Linked DNA regions of Macaca fascicularis. The protein of the gene in region 5 interacts with the protein of the main gene of each other region in a biochemical or structural test. Links are inferred from orthologs where the notes say so. Each region holds a gene or a part of one and is shown on either strand. Other genes may lie near its edges. The genes, in order: UBA7, RNF144A, UBE3C, RNF216, UBE2L3, HACE1 and TRIP12.

Region 1 (4,094 bases), on a different chromosome or scaffold from region 5:
AATATTGATACAGGCTATAAACTCTGTGAACCTTGAAAACATTCTAAGTGAAAGAAAATAGACATAAGAGGTTACGTTTTGCAATTCTTTTTTTTTTTTTTTTTTTTTTTTTTTTGAGACTGCATCTTACTCTGTTGCCTAGGCTGGAGTACAGTGGCTTGATCTCAGCTCACTGCAACCTCCATCTCCCAAATTCAAGCAATTCTCCTGCCTCAGCCTCCCGAGTAGCTGGGATTACATGTAGGCACGTGCCACCATGCCTGACTAATTTTTGTACTTTTAGTAGAGATGGGGTTTCACCATGTTGGCCAGGCTGGTCTCGAACTCCAGACCTCAGGTGGTCCACCCGCCTTGGCCTCCCAAAGTGTTAGGATTACAGGCGTGAGCCACCATGCCCAGCCACATATATGGTAATTATTGAATGTGTTTGGTATGTTCGTTGTGGGTGATGAAAAATTATGGAACTAGATAGACGTGATGGTTGAACAACACTGTGGATGCACTAAATGCCACTGAATTGTACACTTTAAAATGGTTAATTTTATGTTACATGAATTTCACCTAAATTAACAACAACAACGAAAAAGAACTTAAGACAGCACTTGGTTTGGCTATTATGAAGTTTCGTGAGAAACAGTGGTCCATCTCCCAGAGAACTGGCCCCAGGTTCCTAAGAAGGCAAAAGGGGCCGGGCGCGGTGGCTCAAGCCTGTAATCCCAGCACTTTGGGAGGCCGAGACGGGCGGATCACTAGGTCAGGAGATCGAGACCATCCTGGCTAACATGGTGAAACGCTGTCTCTACTAAAAAATACAGAAAATTAGCCGGGCGAGGTGGCGGGCGCCTATGGCCGCAGCTACTGGGGAGGCTGAGGCAGGAGAATGGCATGAACCCGGGAATTGGAGCTTGCAGTGAGCTGAGATCCTGCCACTGCACTCCAGCCTGGGCAACAGAGTGAGGCTCCGTCTCAAAAAAAAAAAAAAAAAAAAAAAAGAAGGCAAAAGGACACACCTGTGAAGGGTACACAGGCCCTCTCTGCACTATTTTTTGTGCAACTTCTTGCAAGTCTATAATTATTTCAAAATAAAAGTCTAAAAGGAAAATAAGAACATGTATGAATGTGGCTGCCCCATGCCTCCCACCCTCAGGTCTGACACTCAGAGACTGATCACCTCTTGGAGTCCTGGAACTCATCCCAGGTTTTAGACCCTGATTGGCCTGTCTGGGGCCGGCGTCTGGAGGCAGGATCAGGAGCCTGCTCAGAGCGTAGTTTCACTTTCACTTTTCTTTTCTCCAGAGGAGCCAGGAAGAGAGCTGTGACCAGCAGCGTCCCTTATTCCCTTGGCCTTGGTTCTTGTTTGCACTAGCTACAGCAGGGCACTGGCCCCTACTGTCACCGCCTTCTAAACAAAGACCCTCTCTCTGAGCGCTGCAGCCTACTGTTCGGCCCCAGGTTTGAGGATGGATGCCCTAGATGCTTCGAAGCTGCTGGATGAGGAGCTGTATTCAAGACAGCTGTGAGGCCCGAGGTGAGGGGTGGAGAATGGGGGATGGTCTTCAGACCTTGATCTGCAACTGCTTGCCTCCTGCTTCCCATCCACAGGTATGTGCTGGGCTCACCTGCCATGCAGAGGATTCAGGGAGCCAGGGTCCTGGTGTCAGGCCTGCAGGGCCTGGGGGCTGAGGTGGCCAAGAACTTGGTCCTGATGGGTGTGGGCAGCCTTACTCTGCATGATCCTCACCCCACCTGCTGGTCCGACCTGGCTGCCCAGGTAAGTGTCCTGGGGGGCTGTGGGCTGCCAGACCAAGGTGGGGGCATGGCCCAAGAGGACTCCTGTCTTTGCTCAGGCTGCACTGGCTCTCTCCCTAGTTTCTCCTCTCAGAGCGGGACTTGGAAAGGAGCAGAGCTGAGGCCTCTCAAGAGCTCTTGGCTCAGCTCAACAGAGCTGTCCAGGTCGTTGTGCACACGGGTGACATCACTGAGGACCTGCTGTTGGACTTCCAGGTCAGCTCAGGCCTGCAGCCCTCAAGAGCAGGAAGGGCTGGGCAGTGGTTTTAGCCCTGCTGATCACAGTGTCCACCCAGGTGGTGGTGCTGACTGCTGCGAAGCTGGAGGAGCAGCTGAAGGTGGGTACCTTGTGCCATAAGCATGGAGTTTGCTTTCTGGCGGCTGACACCCGAGGCCTTGTGGGGTGAGTAAGACTGCCTGCCCGGCCTACCGTATTATAGCCAGCAACTGGCCCCATGCTGTCCTCAGCTCCAGGCTTGCTCCAGTGCCCCTCCAACCAGCCTCAGGTCTATACCAGCATGCCTTTCTGATTCTGGTTCCCAGTCCTGCCCTCTGGTTCCTCCAACCTAACCTCCAGACCTGCTCCAGTAACCCTCTCAAATTCTAGTTCCCAAGCCTCTCCTTGCATTCCTTTCCCAATTCTGGCCCTCTGGCCCTGCCCTAGTATCCCCTATCCTTAAGTACAACCTGTAAGCTGCCTCAGTGACCCCTACCACCCCATCTCAGGCAGTTGTTCTGTGACTTTGGTGAGGACTTCACTGTGCAGGACCCCACAGAGGCAGAACCCCTGACAGCTGCCATCCAGCACATCTCCCAGGTGGGTGCTGAGCTGTAGACATTCACTTGCTGACCAAGGAAAGGCTGCCAGGGCCTGTGGAAGGCAGGTCCAGGCACCCCTGAGCCAAGCCTCCTCCTACTCAGGGCTCCCCTGGAATTCTCACTCTGAGGAAAGGGGCCAATACCCACTACTTCCGTGACGGAGACTTGGTGACTTTCTCAGGAATTGAGGGAATGGTTGAGCTCAACGACTGTGATCCCCGGTCTATCCATGTGCGGGGTAAGCCAATCCCATTCCAACTCCAGGCGCAGCACCCAAGCCTCCACTGGGAGTGAGCACAGCCTGGCCCTTGGAATGGGTTTTTCTCCCTCCATCTTCTATAGGGTGCAGCAAGGTCTGGGACACAGATGCAAGATAGGATGGGGTGTGGGAACTACTCAGGCTCAAGGATCATACTGACTAGACTGGACCTCCCTCAGAGGATGGGTCCCTGGAGATCGGAGACACAACAACTTTCTCTCGGTACTTGCGTGGTGGGGCTATCACTGAAGTCAAGAGACCCAAGACTGTGAGACATGTGAGTGCAAGTGCATCTGAGGTAGGGGAGCTTGGTTGACTTGAGGGGCCCGTAGCATTCTGGACTAGACCCTGAGCCAGGTGCCCTTGCAGAAGTCCCTGGACACAGCCCTGCTCCAGCCCCATGTGGTGGCCCAGAGCTCCCAGGAAGTTCACCGTGCCCACTGCCTGCATCAGGCCTTCTGTGCACTGCACAAGTTCCAGCATCTCCATGGCCGGCCACCCCAGCCCTGGGATCCTGTGAGTGGCCCTGTTGCTCCCACCCCCAGCCTCTGTCATTTATTGGGGTCCCATCTGCCAGAGGTAACAATGACCGTTCACAAATCCAAGTTTGATCTTCCAACACTGCAGCCTTTAGAGTAGAGGCTGGTTCCATGGAAGTGCCAGGCACACATCCTGGGGACCCCTGCTACACCCTGATGCCTCAGATCTGTGTTGGAAGCTGCACTTAGATTAGTGAAGCCTCTTGTGCTGCTGTCTGGTACTGGACATCCTCTGGTGGTGCTGCACAGGCTGGCAGCAGGGCCAGGCCTTCCCACCCAGGCTTCTGCTTCCTCTTCTGTGGAACAGGGTAGATGGAGGGTGGCTGGAAGGATTTGAGTCAGGAGTGGAGCTCAGGCTGGGGCTACTGTGCCACAGAGTCCTACCAACAGGTTGATGCAGAGACCGTGGTGGGCCTGGCCCAGGACCTGGAACCACTGAAGTGGACAGAGGAAGAGCCACTGGAACAGCCACTGGATGAGGCCCTAGTGCGGACAGTTGCCCTAAGCAGTGGAGGTGTCTTGAGCCCTATGGTGGCCATGCTGGGTGCAGTAGCTGCCCAGGAAGTGCTGAAGGTAGGCACAGGCATAGGTGTGGGGGGTACTGGGAAGATGTGGAGATCGGTGTGTGTGTCAGAGGGCACCCAGCACCAGATAGCAGCCCTGGAGGCTTCACCAACCTGGGTGTAGCC
Region 2 (3,500 bases), on a different chromosome or scaffold from region 5:
AAGAGGTACAGTGTGTGTTAGGGTTGACTGAGCCACAGCCACTTACACTGTAACGGCACTTTTAGGAAGAAACATGCCTGCCTGCTTCTCCTGGCCCACAGCCCACGCCTTTGTGGCAGAGTGTGTACAAAGGGTACCTGGTCTCCCCGGGAAGGAAGGTGATCGGCATGGTCTCCGGGCAGCCCTGGCCAGGGTGCCAGCTGGCTTTGCAGGTGGAACAGAATTCCATATGGCAGGCTTTGCACTGCACTGGCTGGGGGGTCTGCAGCCCCACGTCCTGGAGCTGACACACAGCCTGGCAGGTGGACGCTGGGCACCAAGTCCGACAGGGATCAAACAGCACCTCTGGTATAGGGAGACAAAATGGGCAAATCAAACTTAAGCCAGAGGGTCATGTGGGCTTCAGAGGAAGGAGCCCCTCAGTGCACGGACAGAGAGAAACACATCCAGGTAATACAGCCAGAACCACCAGCCCCAACCGAAGCACTGCCCAAGTCACCCTTCCACCTCCACCTCCCAACCTCTCCCTTCATGCAACAGACCTCCAGACACCCCAGGCATCCCTCAGGAATGCTGCTCCTGTCCCTGGAATGCCCTTGGAGCCCTGGGTCAGCCCTGCTTGCCTCTGGGACTCAGCTCACAGCTCAAAGGCCTCCACATTCTGGAAAGCTTGTCCCACCTGCCTGTCAGGTTTCTCTGAGCAACGCACATCGTGCTAGCTCATCTGCCTCCCGTAGGGGACAGCTTTCTGAAGCCGGGCCCCTGATGGCCCGTGTTGGGCACACACCCAGCACCAGGAAAACGCTGTTAGAAGACGGAAAGGAAGAGGGAAGAAGATGGCTGGATTATTCTTCTAACCAAATAGTTCACCTGCCTAAGATGGCCTCCCCTTCTCAAATCCAAGCCATGAGTTAACTACGGAGTGAAACCAACCCTTCAAGGGCCAGATTTTCTCTCCGAATCACAGCGCACATTTCTAAGAGCCCAATCTTATGGAATTGGCCAAGAAGCTTATTTCTAAAAACAGGACACCTTGACACATCTATTTCTTCACATCCTTGTCCAAAAATTACATTTCTTTAAATTACTGGCTGCCCTTTGTAAGGAGACTGGTTGTTCATTTAATCTTCCCTCTTGTCCGGCATGACGCCGAATTCTCGATGAGGGGCCACCCCGGGGAGAAGGCAGGCTCCGCCAGAAAGCTCTCCGAGGCCAGTGCAATGTGGGCTATTTCCAAAGGCGTTCTGGTGGGCCACTGGTTTCTAAGTTTTCAGCGGGGCTCTTCTTGGGAAGTCGTCGTCTGTCGGGACAACTGAGTTTCAGAGACGACTTGAAAGGCGATGACAAGTCCTTGCCAATGTCCGGGCCCTGTGACTGGCAGCCGGGCAGCTCCCGCTCACCTGCATCACACATGGGATTCCTCTCACTGGAATCCACAACAGGCTGGCACCACACGTGGACCAGGACTTCACCTACACGCATTGCCACGGGACCAGCAGCAAATGAATGACAAATCACCAGCTGGGTGTCCTGACGGTGCACACGCATATGTACGTGTAAGGCTCTGTGTGTTTACATGTTCCCCCAGTACACGGGGAAGCCAGATTCAGCGCTCTAGAAACCATCTTGTGTAGGGTCTAGCTTTAAACTAATCTAGTCATCTAATCCAGGGGCTGGCAAACTTCCTCTGTAGAGGGTCGGATAGTCATCATAGAAGTCGAGGACCAAGTTGTTTCTGGGTTTCTGCAGTAACTACTGGGTTTTTGCTGTTGCAGCACAAAAGCAGACACAGTGACCTGGAAATGAATGTTCTAGCAAAACTTGACAGCAGCAGGCCACTGGCCGGACTGGATCTGGCCCACTGGCCATGGCAGGCTGACCCTTGATCTCATCTGGCTGCCCCCTGCCTTTTTTTTAAAGCGTGAATTAATCAACAGCACAAAAACCGTCCGAATGTTAGGGGTGGTAGAAAATTAAGAAGAACTTGATAATAATGAGGAACACTGGAGGTCAGGAACAGGTGCTCTACTCTAATTATCTTCATTAGAATAATCTAAAATCCCCAGGGTGCTCCTCACATTGAGTGAATGGACACATTTAGCTCTTCTCTTACTTGTGGATAGTTTCTGCATTTGCTTTCCTAAGAATGCTCCTAGCTGTCAGTTCTGACAAGTGGCTTTTTGAGAAAATGTAGTTGTTGTCTGTGGGTCACCTGTGTGGGGGCAGATGCCTGGCGCTCCCCTGAGCTGAGGGTCCACAGCAAAGCAAGGAGGGGCTGCACGTGCCGGCCTGGGGCACCGAGCGCCACACTGAGCAGTGAGGAGGAAACGCCAAAGGCTAAAGGCAGCTGGCCTGGGTCACGCTCCCATCCCGTACCTGCGATGCCTCCAACACCTCGCTGCCTGCCGTCTGTGCATGCTGTGGGGTGAGCCCAGCGTTGTCCCTGATGAGATAGGAGGCCCGTGTCTGCCCAGCCCTGCAGGAGGATGCAAGTGCTCTGTGCACTGAACAATACACTGCGCGCGAAGAGAAATCCTCGCTCACTCTTTGCTCTCCTCCCATATAGCTCTGGGGCTAGACCCAGAAGGGCAGTGCTGCCTGCCAGGGACCCTTCCGTCCCACTGTTGTCCCTACCCCTCCTGTGCGGTGAGGAGCTTCTGACATCAGCAAGGAGCAGATGTCCCAAAGCTGGGTCTCGGTCTCTTCATGCACGTGATGGTCATGCACCGCCTCCTGCCCAGCCTACTGGCTCAAGAGTGGGAGATGCTATTATGCACCCCCATCACGAAAGGCCCCCCAGGACAGCATGCAGGGGAGACCTGGCTAAGGTTTCCATGGGAACGATTTAAATCTTATTAGTTTTGTCCTCACAGAGCTGTGACTTGGCACTGCCTGTCCTCATACGGACAGATTCCTCATCGAAAAGGTCAGGGACAAATGGCTGCTCAGACTGCTGACTGCAAACGTGCTTCCTGTGCTGCCACGGCACGTCACATCCTGTGAACACGGCCCCAGGCTCAGGTGTAGATGTCTATTAACATTCTGCATTATCCTCCCCATTATCCTCCCCAACACGTACTACATACGTGTGTAGTGTATGAGACATATTTTCAAACAGAGCAAATAATATATTTTTGGCACACTAGAGGAAACTAATGTTAATTCTTATCTCCCAGAGGTGTATTTATAGCAGATTAATGAAGCGGGTCTCTAAGAACTCCCTGCTTAAAAACGCCTAAGACTTTTTAAAAAGGTGACTTTCCTTTTAAAACAGTTTCCTTTCAGAAGCACATGACAGATGACAGTGCACCCAGCATCCCCTCTCATCCCTGCAGTTACTACCCTGCCCAGCCGGGCTGCTGCCTGGCGTGGGGCTGGAATGCTGGGTTTGATCCTACTGTGAGATGGTAACATTTTCAGGTGTTGGCTCTAGTCGGGCCTGATTACAGGTGGATAACCCGTTGTATTATTTAATCTCTCTGAGCTTTACTTTGTTTTAA
Region 3 (4,202 bases), on a different chromosome or scaffold from region 5:
GACAGAAGCCAAGCCAAACAAGCCAGGCACAAAGGACAAGCGGCAAGTGGCTCCATGACCCTGAAGTTCAACAGGTAACGCTAATCTACAGTAACGGAGGTCAGGAGGACAGTCACCTTTGTGGGGCTGGAATACAGACATACCCGGCATAATGACCTTTCAGTCTGTCAACAACAGACCACATAAACACCGTGGTACCATAAGATTATAATTTGTATTTTTACTGTATCTATGTTTGGATGCACAAATATTCACCACTGCATTAAGAGTTGCCTACAGTATTCAGTACAGAAACACGCTGTCCAGGAGGGTAGCACAGGAGCAACTGGCTGTACCAAGCCGCTAGGTGTGTAGTGGGCAACACCAGCTAGGTGTGTGTTAAGTGCACTCTGATGGTCCCACAACAACCAATTGGCCTAGTGACAGTGTCCCCCTCTTTAAGTCACACATGACTGTAATTAAAGGGTGAGAGTGCAAGGGAGCCTCTGGAATGCTGGGAATGGTCTTCCTTTGATGTGAGTGGTATTCCCTCTAAAGGAGAGTGTCCATATGCAAAAATCCTTCAAGCTGTACATACAGCTGGGTCCTCACCCAGATTCCTTAACCAGGCCAGGGGACCCATGCCCCAGCTGCTGCCAGTTGCTACTAAGGGCTCTTTACTGCCACTCTCTCCCAGAAGAATGGCCCTCGGCTCAGGGTCAGCAGTGCAACACTCCCACCCTCATCCCGGGGCGGGGGGGAACCTACAGCCACCAGCCCCTCTGCAGCAATTATGGCCAACTGCGGCAAGCTCCTGGTGAGATGGGGCTAAAGCTAGCCTCCAGCTGAGACGCCCTTCCTCTTCAATTTCACTTGCACAAGGATCTCCTTAGCGCTTGTGAAGCTGACTGTATCTTACCTTATACTCCAATAAAAAGTGTTTTGTTTTTAAAGGGGTGATTGTTTCACACAGCTCAGGGTATCTTCCTTTGAGATTCTGATCAACAGATAAGAAACCTCACTCCCTCAGAGCAGAGATGCACTCCTTGGTGAAAACGGACCAACATCCATGGCCCGTGGGGTGTTCCTGCCCGCAACAGAGGCCGCGCCGCGCTATGAAAATGGCATGGAGTCTCAGGTGGTCTGCCACTAGCTTCCTGTGTGAATGTGCACTCGTTCAAATGCTCTGCAGCTCACCTTCCCAACTTGTAAGCAAGGAAATTTGGTCCAGAGATTCTCGGAAGTCTCTTCTAACCGGAGAAATCCTTTGATCTCTTAAGAAATTTTCATTAACGTGGAAGCCCCTAGGTGCTACCACGCCCACCCTGTAACCGCACAGTACTTAGTTGTGGAGCACAGCGACTTGCAAGCAATCACCATCACACAAACCTCAGAGCTTAAAAAGAATCAGCACACTTCTCTCCCAACTCTTGACCCAGGTTCCCTTCTACCCTCAGAAACTACCAAACACAGCACCATGGCACAATCTTAACAGCAGTTCCTCCTTGGCCTGCCAGCATCCACTCCGCGTTACGTGCCTACCTGGTGGTTGTGATATACAGAATATACTGACAAACAACAAAAACTAGGTGAAGCAATTTAAAGAACATTTCAGAAATGATGGGAAGGGGTGGGAAGGGAGGGGCGGGAGCAAGACCACACAGCATTCAAAGACTTAGCGGTTCCAGTGAACCAACCAACCGATGCCCGTCTTCAGGGACAGACAGCTGGAAATTCTAGACTAGAACAGAGGCGTCATGGTTTGCCTACCCTTATTCTAAACAATGACCATGCGAACAACTTATGGCCCATCACAACAGATACAAGTCCGGAGTCTCTCCACAGTTTCCGGGAGGCTGGTAGCGAATAATTGCCCTGGTCTTGGATTCAAACACGTGGCTATTCATGAGGCGTTCTGCTTCCACTTCAGAGATTATCGACATCAGCAAATGCGCGCCGTTCACCTTCTACAACCGAAAACGCCCTTCAGGTGGCATTCGAAAAGCAGCCACTCCCTGATGCCATGCGGGAGCGAGCACGGAAAGCCCCATTTCTGAAAGCAAACACCCAGAAAGGGTAAGTTCACCTTGGGTGGCACAAAGCATGCCAGGGTTCCCCGGCCGCCTGCATGGAAGGGAGCCACGGCCAGCGCGCCCGGGTCCCGAAGCGCAGCGGACAGGCAAGGCCCCCACGGGCGCGGCCTCCAGTTCCAGCCAGGGAGGCCCCGAGTCCAGCCCTAAGTCCTAGGCAGAGTCCTGGCCCCAAGTCTCGGCCCCGAATCCAACCCCGAGTCCTTGCTGGGGCTGACCCGAGATCCGGCGAGGAAGCCCCGAGTCCCGGCCAGGGAGGCCCCGAGTCCAGCCCCGAGCCCCGGCCGCGCAGGTCCCGAGCCGAAGGAGCCCCGCCAACCCGGGCCTCACCTTCCTGCTCGCGCCGCCAAGAGACACCTTGGGCCGCGTCTTGAAGTCGCCTTCGAAGCTGAACATCCTGGCAGCCTAGCCCATGTGCGGACGGCGCCGCCGCGGAAGCAGCCGGGCGGGCGGGGCACGGGGCGGGCTGGGAGGCTCTCGGCGCCCGCCCGCCCGGCCCAGGGCAGCGAGGACGCGGCGGCCGGGAGGCGACCCGAGCCCGCCCCCGGGCTGTACCCTCCCAGCCCTGCCCTGGGGCGGGAGGGGCGGCAACACTGGAGGGGCGGCCCTGCCTCGCCTGCCCCTCATCCACGCCGGCCACTGCTCCGGCCGCTGCAGGGGCGCCCAGCGGGCAGCAAACCCGGCGCTTGCACCTGGAACTGCCGCCTCGGGAGGGAAGATGGCGGTCAGCCGTCACTGCGTGCGCGGCCCTGCAGACGTGCGCGCCTCCGCCATCGACGCCACGGCGCTCTTCCCGGCGGCTCCGCCAGCGTGCGCGGCCCCGCAAGGCGCGCTGGAGCCTGGGGAGGAGGGCGGTGACCTGGGCACGCGGCGGAGTGGGCGGGGCCTGGTGCGTGCGGAGGGCGCGGCGGGGGGCGCGGCGGGGGGCGCGGCGGGGGGCGCGGCGGGGGGCGCGGCGGGGGGCGCGGCGGGGGGCGCGGCGGGGGGCGCGGCGGGGGGCGCGGCGGGGGGCGGGAGGTTTTGGGTGCGGGGCGGGATGCAGGGAAGGCGGAGTGCGAGGCGTGGGCCGGGGTGGGGTGCACGGCAGGGTGCGTGGTGCAGGGTGGGGTGCAGGGGCCGGCACCCGGAGCGGCCAATCTGGTGCCAGACTCGAGTGAGTGAGGCGGGAAAGGAGCAGCTAGGCCCAGCCCGTCTGTTTACACCCCACCTGTTCTATGTCTATGACACGCACAGACGGACGTAAATATTTACCATGTACACAGACATGCGCAGATTTGCCTCATACATACACAGCACACATATGCATCAATATACACACACAGCATCAATACATATCAATATGTATCATGTACACATACCTGTGTATGCATAAATATGCTCCTGGACTTACCATGGGGCTTTGTCCTGATAAACCCATCGTAAGATGAAAATATTGTAAGTTGAAAATGTATTTAATACTACAATAAACCCATCACAAAGTCAGAAAATTGTGAGTTGAGCCATTTTAAGTTGGGAACCACCTATACATAAACATGTGTCTTGTTATACGTATACATAAATAATCTCTCATATACATGTGCATATACATATATATCATACACGATTGAAGCCAATTTCTAAAAATTGATTTTTGGTTGTATATAAGGTATGCAACAGATTTCATAGACACATTGTGAAATGACTACCCTCTTTGTGTTTGTTTGTGAGGGTAAAATCTACTCTTGGCAAAATTTCAACACACAGTATGATACCATCTACAGTCCTCCTGCGGCTGAGCATGGTGGCTCACGTCGGTAATCCCAGCACTCTGGGAGGCCAAGGCGGGTGGATCACCTGAGGTCAGAAGTTCGAGACCAGTCTCGCTAACATGGTGAAACCCCATCTCTACCAAAAATACAAAAATTAGGCCAGCGTGGTGGTGCGCACCTGTAGTCCAAGCTACTCTGGAGGCTGAGGCAGGAGAATCGCTTGAACCTGGGAGGCAGAGGTTGCAGTGAGCCGAGATCACGTTATTGCACTCCAGCCTGGGTGACAAAGCAAGACTCCGTCTCAAAACAAAAAAGGAAAAAAAGAAATACAGTCCTGGCACCGCCTGTAATCACAGCACTTTGGGAGGCCGAGGCAGGTGGATCA
Region 4 (4,242 bases), on a different chromosome or scaffold from region 5:
TCCTCTCTCCCTTCTCAGCGTGTAAAGAATGTTCTGCAAGAGCACGGTGGCTCAAGCCTGTAATTCTTGCGCTTTGGGAGGCCGAAGGTCACTTAAACCCAGGAGTTGGGCAGCAGAGCCAGACTCCGTCTCTTTAAAAAAAAAAAAAAAAAAAAAAAAAAAAAAAGGCCGGGCGCGGTGGCTCAAGCCAGCACTTTGGGAGGCCGAGACGGGCGGATCACGAGGTCAGGAGATCGAGACCATCGTGGCTAACACGGTGAAACCCCGTCTCTACTAAAAAATACAAAAAACAGGCCGGGCGCGGTGGCTCAAGCCTGTAATCCCAGCACTTTGGGAGGCCGAGACGGGCGGATCAGGAGGTCAGGAGATCGAGACCATCCTGGCTAACATGGTGAAACGCCGTCTCTACTAAAACATACAAAAAACTAGCCGGGTGAGGTGGCAGGCGCCTGTAGTCCCAGCTACGCGGGAGGCTGAGCCAGGAGAATGGCGTGAACCTGGGAGGCGGAGCTTGCAGTGAGCTGAGATCCGGCCACTGCACTCTAGCCTGGGTGACAAAGCAAGACTCCGTCTCAAAAAACAAAACAAAACAAAACAAAACAAAACAAACAAACAAAAAAAACCAAAAAACTAGCCCGACGAGGTGGCGGGCGCCTGTAGTCCTAGCTACTCGGGAGTCTGAGGCAGGAGAATGGCGTGAACCCGGGAGGCGGAGCTTGCAGTGAGCCGAGATCCGGCCATTGCACTCCAGCCTGGGCGACAGAGCGAGACTCCGTCTCAAAAAAAAAAAAAAAACTTAGACGGCCGTAGTGGCGCACGCCTGTAATCCCAGCTACTCGGGACGCTGAGGCAGGAGAATCACTCGAACCTGGGAGGTGGAGGTTGCAGTGGGCAGAGATCACACCACTGCACTTTAGCCTGAACAGAGCCAGACTCCGTCTCCCCCCCCCCCAAAAAAAAAGCTCAATCAATGGGCTGGGGTGGGTGGGGCAGAGAGGAACTGAAGAGACATATTACATTTAAACGCCACCGTTTCCGAGGGACACGGATGTGCTCTGGTCCCCCACCTGCATCCCATTCAGTAAACAAAGGTGATACATATTAGTGTGCCTATTGCCCACCAAAACATACAGCAGCTCAAACCCATTTTTCTAAGACCTCGTGCCTGACTATTGCAGGAAGCTGGAGGATTAAAAACAGCTGGAGAATAGATGAGCTATGTTTGGCTCCTAACCTCTAAAACAATGCCAACCCAGCCCCTTCCAGGAGTAACAGCTTGAAAACAATACACCAAACTTAGTTTTTAGCATTCCTGGCAATTCCATTATTAATTCATGGGTCTTCTTCATAAGGGAAGAAACCCCATTTTTGAGGTGAGGCACAGGCCCACGAGCGCAAAATGGCCTGGCCAAGCTGGAGCCACCTGTGTGTGAGGGCCACGGTGAGGCCCTCTGCCCTGCTCACCCTTACATCACAGTGCTTCCTCTGTAGGTAAACATGTGGGTTTTCAGCCAGGGCGCTTCTTACTGAAGGGCCCAAGGGCCCCGGGAGAACACAGCTGACACGTTTTTTGAAAAGACTATGTAGCACTTTGGGAGGCCGAAGAAGGGATCACCTGAGGTCAGAAGTTCGAGACCAGCCTGGCCAACATGGTGAAACCCTGTCTCTACTACAAATACAAAAATTAGCCAGGTGTGGTGGCACATGCCTGGAATCCCAGCTGAAGCAATCCCTGTGAGGCTGAGGCAGAATTCCTTGACGCAGGGAGGCGGAGGTTGCAGTGAGCAGAGATCGCGTCACTGCACTCCAGCCTGGGCAACAGAGCAAGACTTCGTCTCAAAAAAAAAAAAAAAAAAAAAAAAGAACAGAAAAAAGAACGTTCTTTTTGCACGATCGAAGTACCGGGGACAACTGCTAGCCAGGTCCTCAGGGACGCACAGAGCCCTGGCAGATTTGTCAGAAATTTCTGTAACCCGTACGCCGCGCACGCTCCAGGATTGGTTGCAAGTGGCCCAAAGTCTTGGATCCCTGGTCCCGTTACACCGGGAGCCGGGCCACCTCGACGCGGGGACAGCGGCCTCGCTCCCTGCCCAGCGCCCGGGCACCCGAGCCGGGCCAGCCCCCAGCGCCCCGTAGAAGGGTTTGACGCACTTGCGGCGCCCTCGCGAGTGCCCGGTGACAGTCGCCAACTTTCGCGGAACAACACCCGCTCCAGATGTGAGGGGAGAGGTGGAAAAACGCCGCCCGCCTGGGCTGGGGTTCACAGGGACCGGCCGCCTCCCGCCGCTTCTCCAGGCCGCGCTCGGGTGCACGGACCCCGCCTCCGCGGCGACCTCGGGCCCGGGGGAGGGAAGCGCGGTCTCCCGGGCTATCGCCCTCGCGCAGCTGACCCAAAGGGCCGGCCCGCGAAACTTCGCGAAGAGGCGGGAGGGGGTCGCCCAGTCGCTCAGCGCCTTTGTCGCTCCCGCCTCGCCTCCGCACGGGGCTCGAGACGCCCAGCCCAGTCCTTTGGCCCGATCCCGCCCGGGCCTCGGCCCGCGCCCCTCAGCTCGGCGGCCCTCACGGCCCGCGCCCCCGCCCCCACCCACGGAGCTCCACGGAGGCGTCCCGCAGAGAGGCCGCCTTGCCTCACAGACCCGCCCAGGAGCTCAAGCGCGCCCCGCGACCGACACTCACTCGCCACTCAACTCGCCGGCTAGCCAGGCGGGTTCGGCGGCCTTCGGTACCGCGCCGCTTACTCTTCAGAAGCCACAGCTGCGAGCTCCGTCGCTGCCGCTGAGGCAGCCGCTACACTCCTTCCGGTCCTGCCGCGGCGTCACCTCGCGCCTGCGCACAGCGCCCCCTCCCGACTAAGGACAGGAAGAACCATAGAGGCACTCCGGGTGCTGTGGAGGAGGGACCCGGGGGCTCACCACAGAGAGGGCCGCCTAGCCGCGCCTGCATCCGGGCTCTCCGCCTGCGGAGACTTGACTCCCCCACGAGGCGGAAGGATGAAAGGAAAGGAGACCACCATCCCGGACCCCACAGGAGCCGCCATCTCCCTAGAGCTTAAAAGGGTATGGGGTAGGTGGTTGTGGACGTTTACTCGATATCTACTTATTTGCCCTAATTCTTTTGGCAAGCCATTCATTCATTCTGCAGATATATTCTGTGGATTTCCTGTGGGCCACGCACTGTTCTAGGATTTGGGGAAATTAAGAGTAAAGTGGGTCCCGTGGCTGGGCACAGTGGCTCACGCCTGTAATCCCATCACTTTGGGAGGCTGAGGCGGGCGGATAACTTGAGGTCAGACGTTGGAGACTAGCCTGGCCAACGTGGTGAAACCCCGTCACTACCAAAAATAAAAAAATTAACCGGGTGTGGTGGCGGATGCCTGTAATCCCAGCTACGCAGGAGGCTGAGGCAGGAAAATCGCTTGAACCTGGGAGGCAGCGACTGTAGTGAGCCAAGATGGCGCCACTGCACTCCAGCCTGGGCAACAGAGCTACACTCCATCTCAGAGAAAAAAAAAAAAAAAAAAAAAGTACAATGTGTTCCTGGCCTCAGGAAGTTTAGGTTTTAGTGGGCAAGTGAATAACTGACTAAAAAACTGCTCCTGCTGGGCACAGGGGCTCATGACTATAATCCCAGCGCTTTAGCAGGCCAAGGCGGGAGCATCGCTTGAGGCCAGGAGCTCAAGACCAGCCTTGGCAACATAGCAAGATCCCTACTCTTAAAATAATTGCTGGCCGGGCGCAGTGGCTCACGCCTGTAATCCCAGCACTTTGGGAGGCCGAGGCAGACAGATCACTTGAGGTCAGGAGTTCGAGACCGGTCTGGCCAACATGGTGAAACCCCGTCTCTACTAAAAATACAAAAATTAGCTGGGCATGGTGGTGCATGCCTGTAATCCCAGCTACTAGGGAGGCTGAGGCACAAGAATTGCTTGAACCCAGGAGGGGGAGGTTGCAGTGAGCCAAGATCATGCCACTGCACTCCAGGCTGGGCAACAGAGTGAGACTGTGTCTCAAAAACAAAAATCAAAAAACAAAAAACAATTGCTAAGTACACCTTCAAGTAGAGATGTCAAGTCAGTAATTAGATAAATGAGTCTGGGCTGGGCACAGTGGCTTATAACTGTAATCCCAACACTTTAGGAAGTGGAGGTGGGAAGATGGCTTGAAGCCAGGAGTTTGAGATCATCCTGGGCAATAGAGTGAGACCCCATCTTTACAAAAGTAAAAATTAGCCGGACATGGTGAT
Region 5 (4,099 bases):
GTGTCTTCTCCCTCCCCACCACATTCTACGATTCTACCTTAGGTAACTCCCTTAACCTAGTTAACCTCACAATGTCCTCATTTGTAAAAACATAAAAACGACAATACACTAACTTGGAGTGTTGAAAAGATAACTTATGTAAATAACCTAATATTTAATAAATACTCAGTTAATGTTACAAATTCTTTTCCAAGGTCTATTTTTTTAGAAACAGAGTAATAATTTTAAACCCGTAATAAGTCCCCTCTTAGACCCCTGAGAGCCTGGGGATTCCAAACTGGGTCAACTGGGATAGGCTAGGGGGCTTCCAGGATGAATTAGGTCAAGATCCCTGCCCTTCGGGATCTCAGAACCCAGTACAGGAAAGACAAGTCTGTAACACAAAGAGATTGTGACAAGTGCTCAAAGAGAAACATAAAGTGCTGTGGTCACACAGAGGAGGAAACAACTCATTCTGAAGGGGGATGTGAAGCAGGGGCTCACAGAGCAGTTGGCATTGGAGTTGAACCTGGGACTTCTCTGGAAGGCAGAAGTGAGGAGAAGGCAACTTTTTTGGGGCAGAGCAAACGACACGTGCAAAGAGACACCAGAGGGCAAGTAAGAGCAGGAGACTTTGCTTTGGAGAAAGAACCCAGTTCGATCACAGCTCACTCTCCCTAGCTAGGTAACCCAGGGCAAGCCAAATAATCTTTTCTCATCGACAAAATGGAAATCACAATGTCTACTTCACAGGAAGGATTAAACATGATCATGCATATAAAGCACGAAGTAAAAGCTGGAAAAATAGTAGCTACTGCGATTAGGTGCAAGAATGGTGGGAAACCAAAGGGCAGGAGGTGAGGCTCAACTGATTGCTTTCCGTCAGTCTCAGAAAGGTCTTGCATGCCAAGTAAGAGGTTAGGATTAACTGCTGAGGACAATAAGACCATAGACATTTTTAACAGGAGTGAAAAGAATTGAGTTATCTGCCTTAAAAGAACTCTGGTGTCCGTGAGGGGTAGTCTGGGGAGGAGAGCACTCCGGAGGGCACCCAAGAGATGAGGATACAGATTCAGAGTAATTTCAGTAACATTAGAAAGCAAGTCATGCACTTCAGAAATCTTTTTTTTTGTTTGTTTTTGAGATGGAGTCTCACTCTGTCGCCCTGGCTGGAGTGCAGTGGCGCAAACTTGGCTCACTGCAACCTCCACCTGCCAGGTTCAAACGATTCTCCCACTTCAGCCTCCCGGGTAGCTGAGATTACAGGCGAATGCGACCACGCCCAGCTAATTTTTATATTTTTAGTAGAGACAGGAGTTCACCATGTTGGCCGGGCTGGTCTTGAACTCCTGACCTCAAGTGATCCGCCCGCCTCGGCCTCCCAGAGTGCTGGGATTACAGGCGTGAGCCACCGCGCCCGGCCTGCACTCCAGAAAACTTTCTAAATTTAAATCCACAAGGGTTGAAGGACGACTGCACCTGGGAGTAGGGTAGGAAAGAAAGCCATTAACCGACCCCTTATCTGGTGAATGGTGGTGTCACTAGCTTAAGAGATGAGAAGTCAGAAGTCCTCTGAGTTTTCTTTTGTGCCCACTTCCACTCCAGTTTTATAAAGTTAATGTCCTCTCTAGCCCTTAGGGAACAAAAGAAAGGAAACGTTCCCAGGGAGGCAGGGAGGGCTCAGAGACTGTGGCTCCAAGTTCAATGTCTAGTTCTACCAAACACTGCTCTGCCCAGAACGAACCCCAGCTCTTTATCTCCCCTCAGGAAACCGGCTCCGGGGCCTTTTTTTAATTTCCGGCCCGTTGCAGGCCGGCTGCACTAGCCAGCCGCCGACTCACAGACGCTGGCGGAGGGGACTCCGGAGGACGTTGGCAAATCCACTGGCAAAAGAACTAAGCCAATTTAGCTAATGTGTTCCTCACTAAAAGGTGCCAAGTAGCAAGAAAGCACCCTGCTGCATTCAAGATCCAAAGTACCAAGTTATTATTATAAACTTTGGCCCGTTTTGATTCGAACGACTGAAACCAACCGTTACCCCCCAAAAAATGGCATTTTGCTTTATCAGGGAAGGGAGATCGAGATGACTGAGTGGAGGAGAGGGAAGGAGAACCGCGCCGCGATGGGGGCCGACCTCAGGCCTTCCTGGAGTTGGAACTTGCCCGCTGTGTGACTCTGCAGTCACAAGGCGACAGTTTGCTAGGACCCAGCGCAATTCCAAACGACCCACCAACAAACTGACCTAACTTTGGCCGCCTGGCCTCCTCCCCGCTCTCCTAGCCCGAGCCTTCCAGAGTTCCGAGCTGCGGCTGGGCCAAGCGGAGCTGCAAGCCCGGCTCGCTGAGGCCCAGGGCGGGGCGGTTCCGCTGCACGGGCTCCGGGCAGGGGCTCCGGCGCTCGGGCCTTCCCCGAAGGCGCTCAGTTTGGAGCCTCCCAACCGGGCTCTCACATTAACGACGCCCTCGCGTCGGACCGCGGCCTCCGCGACAGGGGGACGCGGCCACGCTCCGGGCGGAGGGTGGCGTGAACGCCCCGGGCCGGGCTGAGGGGCCAACAGTGGCTCCCAGCGCGGCCTGGCGCTCCCGCCCAGGCTGCGGCCTAGGCCAGCCCCGTTAGCTCCTTGAGCCTGCGCGCGGCCCAGGGAACCGACGAGGCCGTGTAGGGCAGGAGGCCAGACGGCAGCGCCCTGAGAGGCCGCTGCCTGCCTCGGGGGTCCGGAGCCTGGGACGCCGCCCCACGCCCGACCGAGGCCAGAGAATGGCTTTTACCTTCATCAGCCTCCTGCTGGCCGCCATCTTGGATTTGGTGCTGCTCCTTCCCCAGAATGCATCGCGGCCGGCCGGGCGGCTGGAGCCCCCGCACTTCCTGGAGCGGGGGAGGGGCCGCGGGGCGGGGCACAGGAGCGGAGCAGAGCACCTACTGTATGCTTCCCAGCGTGCTCGGAGGCGCGTGGAGGAACACAAGTGAACCGCACAGGCTGAGCCGCAGCGTTTACGGATCGTCCAATCAGATGACAGTTACAACCAGTGCCTGGCACGTAGTAGGCAAATAATAAATATTGATTGCATAAAATAGTTGGCCGGGCGCGGTGGCTCACGCCTGTAATCCCAGCACTTTGGGAGACCGAGGCGGGTAGATCACGAGGTCAGCAGTTCCAGACCAGCCTGGCCAAAGTGGTGAAACCGTGGCTCTACTAAAAATACAAAAAATTAGCCGGGCGTGGTGGCGGGCGTCTGTAATCTCAGCTACTCAGGAGGCTGAGGCAGGAGAATTGCTTGAACCTGGGAGGCAGAGGTTGCAGTGAGCCGAGACCACGCCACTGCACTCCAGCCTGGGCGACAGAGATTCCGTCTTAAAAAAAAAAAAAAAAAGTACTCTGATTGGAATGGGGAATGGAGGTGGGTAAGAGGATAAGAAGGGGAGCAGGGGCCACTTGGAAACCTGTTGCAATCGTTCAGGCAAAGAGGTGACACTGGTTTGGACCTCAGGGAGCAAAGAAGAGAGAAGAACATAGCTTCAGAATATACTCAGACCTTCTTAAGGAGTTCTCTTTTTTTTTTTTTTTTTTTTTTTTTTGAGACACAGTTTCACTCTGTCACCCAGAGTGGAGTGCAATGGCATGATCTCAGCTCACTGCAACCTCTGAATCCCAGGTTCAAGTGATTCTCCTGCCTCAGCCTCTTGAGTAGCATAGATTACAGGCACCTGCCACCATGCCCAGCTAATTTTTGTATTTTCGGTAGAGACAGGGTTTTAGCATTTTTGGCCAGGCTGGTCTCAAACTGCTGACCTCAAGCAATCCACCCACCTTGGCCTCCCAAAGTGCTGGGATTATAGGTGTGAGTCACTGGGCTTGGACATTTTTCTCCATTTCTAAGAACAGTGGGTTTCGGCCGGGCGCGGTGGCTCAAGCCTGTAATCCCAGCACTTTGGGAGGCCGAGGCGGGTGGATCACGAGGTCAGGAGATCGAGACTATCCTGGCTAACACGGTGAAACCCCGTCTCTACTAAAAATACAAAAAACTAGCCGGGCGTGGTGGCGGGTGCCTGTAGTCTCAGCTACTCGGGAGGCTGAGGCGGGAGAATGGCATGAACCCGGGAGGCGGAGCTTGCAGTGAGC
Region 6 (4,213 bases), on a different chromosome or scaffold from region 5:
AGAGTTTCTTTTCCATTCAGTCCTTAAAATGTAAGCACAAAAATGTAAGCACAAATGTGGATTTGTATCAGTAGAAATGATATATATATCTCATATATATATTCCTATATGTATGATATACTTGAAAGAGCCAAGCTCAGAGAATTCAAATACTCATCAGAACTTAGAGACAAAGATAAATTAAATTCAAGTAACAAAATGAACAAATTCATTATAATCAAAGAAAAGCAAATGCAAACAAGATGCCATTTTTGCCTATATGTGGGGAAGTTTTACTTTTACTTATCAAACTCTAGTTTCTGGGCACTCTCAGACTGCTGGTGGAACTTTCCAAGAAGTAAGTTGAGAAAATAATACGTTGAGCTTTAGAAATGTATTGTAGACATTCTTCTTGAGAGAATTAACCCTAAGGAAGTATTTAGAGACAGACTATGTCTTAAATATAAAGCTGTTTCTCATAAAATCAGTTTAAAAACAGTATTTAGATTCAACATTTGTTACGTGCGTCTTAGGAAATTCCGAAGTCATTAAGCATATTGAAGAATATTAAAAAAAAAAAAAAAATTGGGGGCCAGTCACGGAGGCTTACGCCTGTAATCCCAGCACTTTGGGAGGCTGAGGCAGGCTGATCACGAGGTCAGGAGATGGAGACCATCCTAGCCAACACGCTGAAACCCCCGCCTCTACTAAAAATACAAAAAATTAGCCGCGCGTGGTGATGGGCGCCTGTAGTCCCAGCTACTCGGAAGGCTGAGGCGGAAGAATAGCGTGAACCCCGAAGGCGGAGCCTGTTGCAGTGAGTCGAGATTGGGCCACTGCACTCCAGCCTGGGCAACAGAGCGAGACTCTGTCTCAAAAAAAAAAAAAAAAAAAAAAAAAAACATTTGGGATGTTTTCTAAACACAAAATAAAAGGCTATATGCAATATGACGTTAACTTGTTAGGGAGAGAAAGAGAAAGAAGTAACAATGGTAACACTGCTTATAACTGGGTGGTGGAATGACATTTCTTTTTCTATTTTTATTTTCCAAATTTTCTACAATGAAACTACGTTACTTTTAAAACCAAGTAACATTATCAGAGTCTTCTAAATCACATTTATGTAAAAAATATCGAGATTCAAACTATACAATATAAATTATACATGTAGTCTTCATCAACCTATACCAATAATTTGACTACGAAAAATAAGCAAGAGTAGCACTGAAGAAATGGATTCAAATGTGGAATTTGGAAAGGAAATAAAGAAAAAATTGAAGCTTGAATCTAGTTATCAAAATCTGAATTCTAAATAGAAACTAGAGACCATTTTCTCAAGAAGATTATCCCCAGGCCAGGCGCGGTGGCTCACATCTGTAATCCCAACACTTTGTGGGGGGGCGGAGCAGGGTGCGGATTGCTCGAGCCCAGGAGTTCAAGACCAGCCTGGGGAACATAGTGAGGCCTCATCTCTATAAAAGAAAGAAACTTATCGCCGAAGTACCCAATCCCACATTTCTTTCATGACCGTTGCCAAGGTCCCCTTCCCTATCCTACAAATCACCCAGCAGCAATTCAAAGAGAGTTTTGAAAAAATAAGATAAACTACTACAATTAAGAAAAAAGCTATTCACCAGCTATAACCTCCTCCCAACCCTTCTCTCACTTGGGCATAAAGAGCCAAAAGCTTCTTAGAAGCAGCACTGCTATCTCCCATCACCATTAAAACGTCTGAATTCCTGACGCTGTAAACAAAACTGTTTATTTTCTCTCGTTATTAGTAGAGTTTTACCTGTTCTGAAGGAACCCTGGAATGCTGAACTAAAAGTCCTGAACTTCAGGCACCATGCCTTATCCCTATTTGCAGATGCGTCCTAGTTCCCAGCTAGCCCACTCAATACTAGTCTGATGAATAAATGAAGTCAGGCATGCATATTAAAGAAAAATGTATTGTGTTTACACACACAGTACTTTTAAGAGTACCTGTTTGATGGTTGACAACCCTTTGTCTTACTGTTATCAAAACAAGGCTGTGCCCCACATTTTTAAAAATAACAAAAATAAAAGCCCGCCTGGCCCCCCGATGCAGCTTAAACACTATCTTTGGATCATCTCTATCTCCGGCGACAGTGAAATGACCCGCAATTATGATGTTTTCTGACTCCGGGTCTCGGGTCTTTGGCTGGTATTCCTGCCTCTTTGCCAAGACCCCTAATCGACAGACGTTGAGAGACCTTTGTCTCGCTCCTCCCGGCAGCGGAACCCCCACCAACCCAGTTTCCTCCCGCAAACTCCCACCTGCCGGGGTGGGAGCGGCGGGCCAAGGGAGTCAAGGGCCCGGGGCCGCCTCTCAGCTCTGGAAAGTAAAAGTGGGCGTTTTCTCAGCTTTCGGTTAGTTTTTCCACCCAACCTTGACGCGTCCGGAGCTCCTGCCCCCTCCCCCGGCCGCCCCCAGCCCCGCGGACAGCCCGGCCCCACGACCCCGCTCACCCTCGGGCAACTCCACGGTGCGCGCGCGGCGCAGAGAGCGCGTAAGGCGGTTGAGTTGCTCCATCGCTCTCTCCATCCTCGGCGCGCCCTCCGCGATCCCCCGCCGCACCGGCGGCCTCCGCGCCCAGCGCCCTACATCTCGCCCGGGCCACTCCAGCAGGCGGAGGCGCGGGCTTGCCCTGGCTACAGCACTGAGCTGCAAGGGCTACCTGGGGCCACGTCCTGCGTCCGGGGGCCCGGCTGCTGCGGGGCCGACCACCTAGGGGACACCAGCCGCCGCCTCCGCTCGCGCCTTTCCTGCTGCCACCGCCGCCGCGTCCCTCCCGGGCTCGCGCGGCCTTCTGGGAACTGTAGTTTCCAGCTCGCGGAACCGAGCGCCCTGGGCGGAGTCACGCTGGGGGCGCCCCGGCCACGCCCACGCGGGCGCGCGGCTGAGTGTGCTGGAAGCCACGCAGCGACTGGGCGTATTCCTAAGTCCCTGGAAAGGCATTGTCACGCCCTGCTCCTCCTACCCTCCAAAGTTGTACAGGAGTAGCTTCCTCCAATTCTGTAACTTTACTGTAAAACAGATTGTAAATTGGCATAATTGTTCTTAAATCCGTCACCACCTCTCTAGTACTGTATTAGTGCCTTTGTTCCAGGTACATGAACTGTTTAAGTATGGTATTTTCGTATGTCAAATTTAAAGAGTAATAAAATCAAACAAATCCAAAAGCACAATATGCTTTTGTCGTCATTGTAAATAACTTGACAATAGCTTAATTAGTTGTTTTTCCTGCCTGGCGACTTTACGAGGGCAGGGACATTTAATTTGGAACTGTGTTGATCCCTGTACTTAACAAGGCACCTGGCACAAAGTTAAAGCTCTGGGGAAGATGTGGATGATGACAACCTGAAAAAATTTTTTCATTTATTTGGTACAATGCTAAAATGTCAATGTGATGACAGAGCCTAGTGGGAAATCCAAAGGATGTGACTTTGTAAGTTACAAAAAACTTGGATACCTACATTGTGTAAGAAATGAACTCAGTGGCGAAAAATCATATTCATAAGCTGTGCACAGAAGTTGAACACTTGATAATTGAAACAACAGAAGTTGGAACTTGAAAAAATATTAACCCAATCAAAGCGGTAAATATGAGCCTGGCTAACGCCACTGACTATGAATATCTTGGATATATTACCAGTGCCAAGATGATGCTGGAGTGAGGGAGAAGCAAAAGGCTTGTCTTTTTCAGCTCCTCTTTCCTCAAAGAGGCAAAGCTGTTCCTGTAATGAATGGGCACATGTACGTCGATGATGTATGTTGGCTGGCCAAGAGAAAGAGAGTCTCACCTGCCCCTTCAGGATATGAAGGGGCAGGTGGTGGTTGGCTTGTGTTTTCCTTGCCAGTGCCGTCCTAAATCAGTTCCAGCTAGTGACCATTTGTGCCAGTGGTGCCACAGGCTCGGGAAAGACCTCTGTAGTCTTCACCTAATCAGATGACACCTAAATCAGTCTGGCAACAAGGTGGTAGAGGTCAAAGTTTCAAAAGAATACCAGAGGCTGGACACGGTGGCTGATGCCTATAATCCCAGCACTTTGTGAGGCCAAGGCAGGCGGAACACTTGAGGTCAGGAATTTGAGACCAGCCTGGTCTTCATGGTGAAACCTCGTCTCTACTAAAATATATATATATATATAAAATTTAGCCAGGTGTGGTGGAGCACCTCTGTAATCCCAGCTACTCGGGAGGCTTAGGCAG
Region 7 (4,133 bases), on a different chromosome or scaffold from region 5:
TAGAACGGATTCACTGCGCTATTAACCGTACCCGCCCCCCCGCCCCCCCGCACCGGCCCAACCTTTACACACAGACACATTCCCTCCCCGAGTTAACTAACGAAGCAATTAAACTATGCCCACCACCAGACTCGATGCTTAGGCTAAACCTCCCCCAGACAAAGTAAAACAGCATTATCAAAAAAACAAACAGATCTGTCTTAAGGGTTTGGAAGCTGCCCCTTCCGTTCTCTCCTCACCACGTAAGGTAACCAATTCTCTCCTGTCCCCCACCAGCAGTTCAAACGTGTGATTTCCCCCCATTGACATGTGCTTTTATGTTTTTCCGTATTTTTCCGTCTAAGAAACGAAGGATTTCTTATTCTGAGGAAGGGAAAGACGCTGAGGAAGACAGGATTTGAGGTTTTACTACCTTCGTTATTCGAACTCCCCTCCAACTTGTTCCTGTACTAGAAAACCCACTCACTATGGAGAAGGAAGGAGAGGGGCTGCACTGATGGACAAACGTTGTAATAGGTTTTATGTAATCCACATATAAATAAATTAATCGCCTGACTCGCTCTGAATGCTAATACGATTGGGGTGACAATTGGCCCACCTCCCTCCCCCAAGTCCTAGTTAAACCCACCTACCACCAATTTCCATTCTGATCTATTTAAAAGGATACTCTATTCCTCTCAGTCAAGTTTCTTGGCTTCTTTAGGCCTCCCTGCATGCCCCCCTCGTCATCATCCTCCCTCAGCCTCAACTTCCCACGGCTTAAAAAACTGCCCCGCGCAGACCCCGTCTCCGGGCTCGCCCTCCCTCAACCGTCCCTCGCCGTCCCCCTGGGCAGGAAACCCCTTACTGCGGTCTAAAGTCACTCCGGCCTCTCCCTCCTCTGACCCTCGCTTCCCACAACTGTTGTCACTCGAGCTGCTCCCTAGTTTCCATTTCCGGGCCGTCCACAGACCCGGAGCCTCCCCTTTCCCAATTTCCGGGCCCCTCGTCCCATTTCCGGGGAACCCTTGCCGTCTTCACACCCCCCACCTGCACTTCCGGCCCCCCACTTTCTCTCTTCCCAGACACCCTCCAAGCTCCAAAGCCCACTTCCGGCCCCTCTCGACCCCCGCCGAGCTCCCCAACACCCGCAAGCCTTACCCCGGTTCTCTGAAGGGCCCTTCTCATTGCGGGGAGCCGGAGGAGGGACCCAGAGACCCCTGCCTCCCGCCGGGCCCCGGTCCCTCCGGCCGCGGCGGCCCTCGAGCGTCTCTCCCGTCCACCCCCGGCCCGGTCCTTCCGCGGCTCCGCCGCCGCCGGCGCCGGGAGCAGGCCAAGCGGGGGCCGAATCGCGGCGATGACACAACCGGGCTTCCTGGGACTTTCTGTTCCAGCTCCTCCCCTCGCCCCCCCAAACCCTCAGCTGGCCCCCTCCCCCCAGGCCTGCCCCCGCCGCCCGGAGCTGCGCCCCAATTACCTAGTTAGGCCCCAAAGTCTCCGGTCCGGACTCGGTGGCGCGGCAGTAACTTCCACTAGCTCCCCCCACCCCCCCCAGCGGCGGCGGCAGCGGCGGCTCCGGGTTCCTTCAATTATCAGCTGAGCCGCAGCACCGCGCTCGGCGTGCGCCTCCGCCCGTGCCGCCTCCCTCCCCGCCCGCTCTGACACCCTCGGGGAACTACTTTGCCCTCGGGCTCTGGTTGACGGGCTCGTCCGCGGGACCGGCCCCGCTGCCTACTGGCGGCCCATCACATCGCCCCTCCCTCCCCTACCGCCCGGCTCGACTCTCCCAGCAGCCTCCGATCTCCGCCCGATCCCTTCGAGGGACCAGGAAGGGGACTGTGGAGCTCCACTTGGTATCCCTCCGCCGGGATCACCCCCTCCCCTCCGTGGTAGCAGGAACTAATTCCCCTTCGGGTCACCCGGGACCTGGAGCTGGAAATTTCACGGATCAGGGTTCCCTGAGACCCTTGGAGAAGGGGAGAATCGCCCCAAGTTAGAAATCCTTCTGCCAGCTCATAAGCGTGGTTCAATTTAAACTAGGGTTTTGGCCCCTTGACCCCGACCAAGCCCCGCCCCTTCCTGGTTGTCTTAGCGACGGCGGTGGCGTCCCAAGATGGCGTCGAGGCTGCCGGAGACTCTGTTTGAAACTGTAGGACAAGGCCCGGCGCCCAGCAAAGACTATTACCAGTTACTGGTCACCCGGTCTCAGGCAAGTGCGAGCCCCGGTTTACCCTCTCTCCTAACTCCCTACCTGGCCCGGTTGGGGCCCGGGACCCAGGCTGTGCTAGGCCGAGAGCAGCCGTAGCCCGCCGGAAGCGCCCGGTCCCGGCTCCGCGCCGGGAGATTTTCCTCGTCACCTCGGCCTCCTCGGTCCGGCGGCCCGCGTGTCCCTGCTCTCCCCGAGCCCGGCTAGTCCCTGGCAAGCCTTCTCTGCCTCCCCGCGGTGCCGCGCGCTCCTTTCCCGCCACCCCGGCTTCCTACCCGTAGAGTTCCCTCCGCGCGAAGAGGAAAACGGGCGTCCCAGGCTTGCGTGCGGCCTCACCTCAGCGTGAGAAGGAGGGAAAGAAAGACTCAACCAAGTGTCCCAAGGAGGAGCGGGCTAGGGAGGGGAAAAGGAGATTGCCTCTTTTCCAGGATAGGAATTAATCATGGAGAATTTTATAAATCTCTTTGTGGCCTTTACGCGTGCCATGGCCACATCAAAAGTTAGTTATTTCTAGTAGCAATTGACGATTGGGAGCTCTTCTCTTACCTTTTTGAGTCCCTTCTATCCCATTGAAAGTGTGCGGGTGGTGGTATAAAAATGTTTCAGCAGCTCTGCGCTTCAGCCCCACCCATAATGACATCTGCTCCACAACAATAAGACCGAGGATTATATTATCTCCAAAGTAACCATCGGCCTATTTTTATGCCTACTTTGGTTATTGAAGGTGGGCTTTTGGATGATTTACTGTGTCCATGAAATTCTCAACTTGAGCGGGGCCTCCATTGGGAAGACGTTTTCTAATCCTGGCTGAGCTTATGCCTGTCACTGAGTTATTCATGCACCCTGCGCTTGCAATAGATACTATTCTATTCCTATAAAATGAAATTTAGAAGTTTGTATATATTTGTTTTGGTGTGCATATTGATCATTCCCTCGATTTTCCCAGGAGCCCTTAAACAAAATAGGTAATGAGTTAATTTTTTATATTTTTAAAAGCATCTTTTAAAATATAAATGTTAATATATTTTTTTAAGATTTAGAAATATTACAAATGTAATATTAGACTGTCCAAAAAAATTTTTTTAAAAAACAGTACTGCTCCTTGCGGAGCAGGGCTAATTCGTAGGCAGTGGGCCCAGAGTCAGCCTCAAATTTTTAATTAAACTGTTTTTAGGGGTTTTTGCTCATTTGGTGATTTATGAAATACTGAAAGTCATCCTTTTTTGTACATTTTTTTTTTTTTTTGAGACCGAGTCTCGCTCTGTCGCCAGGCTGGAGTGCAGTGGCGCGATCTCAGCTCACTGCGACCTTGTTTCACCATGCTGGCCAGGATGGTCTCGATCTCTTGACCTCGTGATCCGCCTGCCTCGGCCTCCCACAGTGCTGGGATTACAGGCATGAGCCACCGCTCCCGGCTTCATACCTTTTTTAAACGGATTATTGATTTTTCCATTGGCTTTAAGATTTATTTGTTTATTTATTTATCAAGAGGGAGTCTCCCTCTGTTGCCCTGGCTGGAGTGCAGTGGCGCAAACTCAGCTCACTGCAACCTCTGCCTCCTGGGTTCAAGCGATTCTCCTGCCTCAGCCTCCTGAGTAGCTGGCTTGTGCCAGCACAGAATTACAGGCGTGTGCCACCACACCCAGCTAATTTTTGTGTTTTTAGTAGAGACAGGGTTTTGCCATGTTGGCCAGGCTGGTCTCAAACTCCTGACCTCCAGTGATCCACCGGCCTCAGCCTCCCAAAGTGCTGGGATTACAGGCGCCGACCACCACGCCTGTCCAATTTTTTGTGTGTTTTTAGTAGAGACGGGGTTTTGCCATGTTGGCCAGGCTGGTCTCCAACTACTGACATCAGGTGATCCAGCAGCCTCGGCCTCACAAAGTGCTGGGATTATAGACTTGAGCCACCGCGCCTGGCCAGCTTTAAGATTTATGATCCTGACATT

What was found.
Region 1: of the proteins of UBE2L3 (region 5) and UBA7, one has a biochemical effect on the other in vitro, tested with the Homo sapiens proteins (2 studies listed by BioGRID). The link is inferred for Macaca fascicularis from reciprocal best matches to the Homo sapiens genes UBE2L3 and UBA7.
Region 2: the proteins of UBE2L3 (region 5) and RNF144A form a complex in vitro, tested with the Homo sapiens proteins (3 studies listed by BioGRID). The link is inferred for Macaca fascicularis from reciprocal best matches to the Homo sapiens genes UBE2L3 and RNF144A.
Region 3: the proteins of UBE2L3 (region 5) and UBE3C form a complex in vitro, tested with the Homo sapiens proteins (6 studies listed by BioGRID, with this or other methods). The link is inferred for Macaca fascicularis from reciprocal best matches to the Homo sapiens genes UBE2L3 and UBE3C.
Region 4: the proteins of UBE2L3 (region 5) and RNF216 form a complex in vitro, tested with the Homo sapiens proteins (5 studies listed by BioGRID). The link is inferred for Macaca fascicularis from reciprocal best matches to the Homo sapiens genes UBE2L3 and RNF216.
Region 6: the proteins of UBE2L3 (region 5) and HACE1 form a complex in vitro, tested with the Homo sapiens proteins (8 studies listed by BioGRID, with this or other methods). The link is inferred for Macaca fascicularis from reciprocal best matches to the Homo sapiens genes UBE2L3 and HACE1.
Region 7: the proteins of UBE2L3 (region 5) and TRIP12 form a complex in vitro, tested with the Homo sapiens proteins (6 studies listed by BioGRID). The link is inferred for Macaca fascicularis from reciprocal best matches to the Homo sapiens genes UBE2L3 and TRIP12.

The regions. Positions count from the first base shown.
Region 1 is NC_088376.1:112,842,881-112,846,974, reverse strand, and holds the start of UBA7 (ubiquitin-like modifier-activating enzyme 7), read left to right. Parts: upstream 1-1,294; 5' UTR 1,295-1,460; coding exon 1,461-1,516; exon of another isoform or gene 1,517-1,528; intron 1,529-1,602; coding exon 1,603-1,771; intron 1,772-1,847; exon of another isoform or gene 1,848-1,869; coding exon 1,870-2,004; intron 2,005-2,084; coding exon 2,085-2,191; intron 2,192-2,514; coding exon 2,515-2,605; intron 2,606-2,709; coding exon 2,710-2,845; intron 2,846-3,045; coding exon 3,046-3,143; intron 3,144-3,235; coding exon 3,236-3,382; intron 3,383-3,766; exon of another isoform or gene 3,767-3,795; coding exon 3,796-3,978; intron 3,979-4,092; exon of another isoform or gene 4,093-4,094. UniProt on the Homo sapiens protein: E1-activating enzyme that catalyzes the covalent conjugation of the ubiquitin-like protein product of ISG15 to additional interferon stimulated proteins (ISGs) as well as other cellular proteins such as P53 in a process termed protein ISGylation.
Region 2 is NC_088387.1:115,097,577-115,101,076, forward strand, and holds part of RNF144A (E3 ubiquitin-protein ligase RNF144A), read right to left. Parts: intron 346-3,500; coding exon 138-345; intron 1-137. UniProt on the Homo sapiens protein: E3 ubiquitin-protein ligase which accepts ubiquitin from E2 ubiquitin-conjugating enzymes UBE2L3 and UBE2L6 in the form of a thioester and then directly transfers the ubiquitin to targeted substrates.
Region 3 is NC_088377.1:198,429,970-198,434,171, reverse strand, and holds the start of UBE3C (ubiquitin-protein ligase E3C), read right to left. Parts: upstream 2,801-4,202; 5' UTR 2,466-2,800; coding exon 2,400-2,465; intron 2,027-2,399; exon of another isoform or gene 1,792-2,026; coding exon of another isoform or gene 1,750-1,791; intron 1-1,749. UniProt on the Homo sapiens protein: E3 ubiquitin-protein ligase that specifically catalyzes 'Lys-29'- and 'Lys-48'-linked polyubiquitin chains.
Region 4 is NC_088377.1:45,377,961-45,382,202, forward strand, and holds the start of RNF216 (E3 ubiquitin-protein ligase RNF216), read right to left. Parts: upstream 2,801-4,242; 5' UTR 2,677-2,800; intron 1-2,676.
Region 5 is NC_088384.1:31,559,586-31,563,684, forward strand, and holds the start of UBE2L3 (ubiquitin-conjugating enzyme E2 L3), read right to left. Parts: upstream 2,801-4,099; 5' UTR 2,775-2,800; coding exon 2,748-2,774; exon of another isoform or gene 2,222-2,747; intron 1-2,221. UniProt on the Homo sapiens protein: Ubiquitin-conjugating enzyme E2 that specifically acts with HECT-type and RBR family E3 ubiquitin-protein ligases.
Region 6 is NC_088378.1:70,355,138-70,359,350, reverse strand, and holds the start of HACE1 (E3 ubiquitin-protein ligase HACE1), read right to left. Parts: upstream 2,801-4,213; 5' UTR 2,546-2,800; coding exon 2,470-2,545; intron 1-2,469. UniProt on the Homo sapiens protein: E3 ubiquitin-protein ligase involved in Golgi membrane fusion and regulation of small GTPases. Acts as a regulator of Golgi membrane dynamics during the cell cycle: recruited to Golgi membrane by Rab proteins and regulates postmitotic Golgi membrane fusion.
Region 7 is NC_088386.1:125,855,031-125,859,163, forward strand, and holds the start of TRIP12 (E3 ubiquitin-protein ligase TRIP12), read right to left. Parts: upstream 2,801-4,133; 5' UTR 2,732-2,800; intron 2,549-2,731; exon of another isoform or gene 2,461-2,548; intron 2,189-2,460; coding exon of another isoform or gene 2,093-2,188; exon of another isoform or gene 2,082-2,092; intron 1,578-2,081; exon of another isoform or gene 1,457-1,577; intron 947-1,456; exon of another isoform or gene 848-946; intron 1-847. Other genes in the region: FBXO36 (F-box only protein 36), read left to right, coding at 2,093-2,188. UniProt on the Homo sapiens protein: E3 ubiquitin-protein ligase involved in ubiquitin fusion degradation (UFD) pathway and regulation of DNA repair.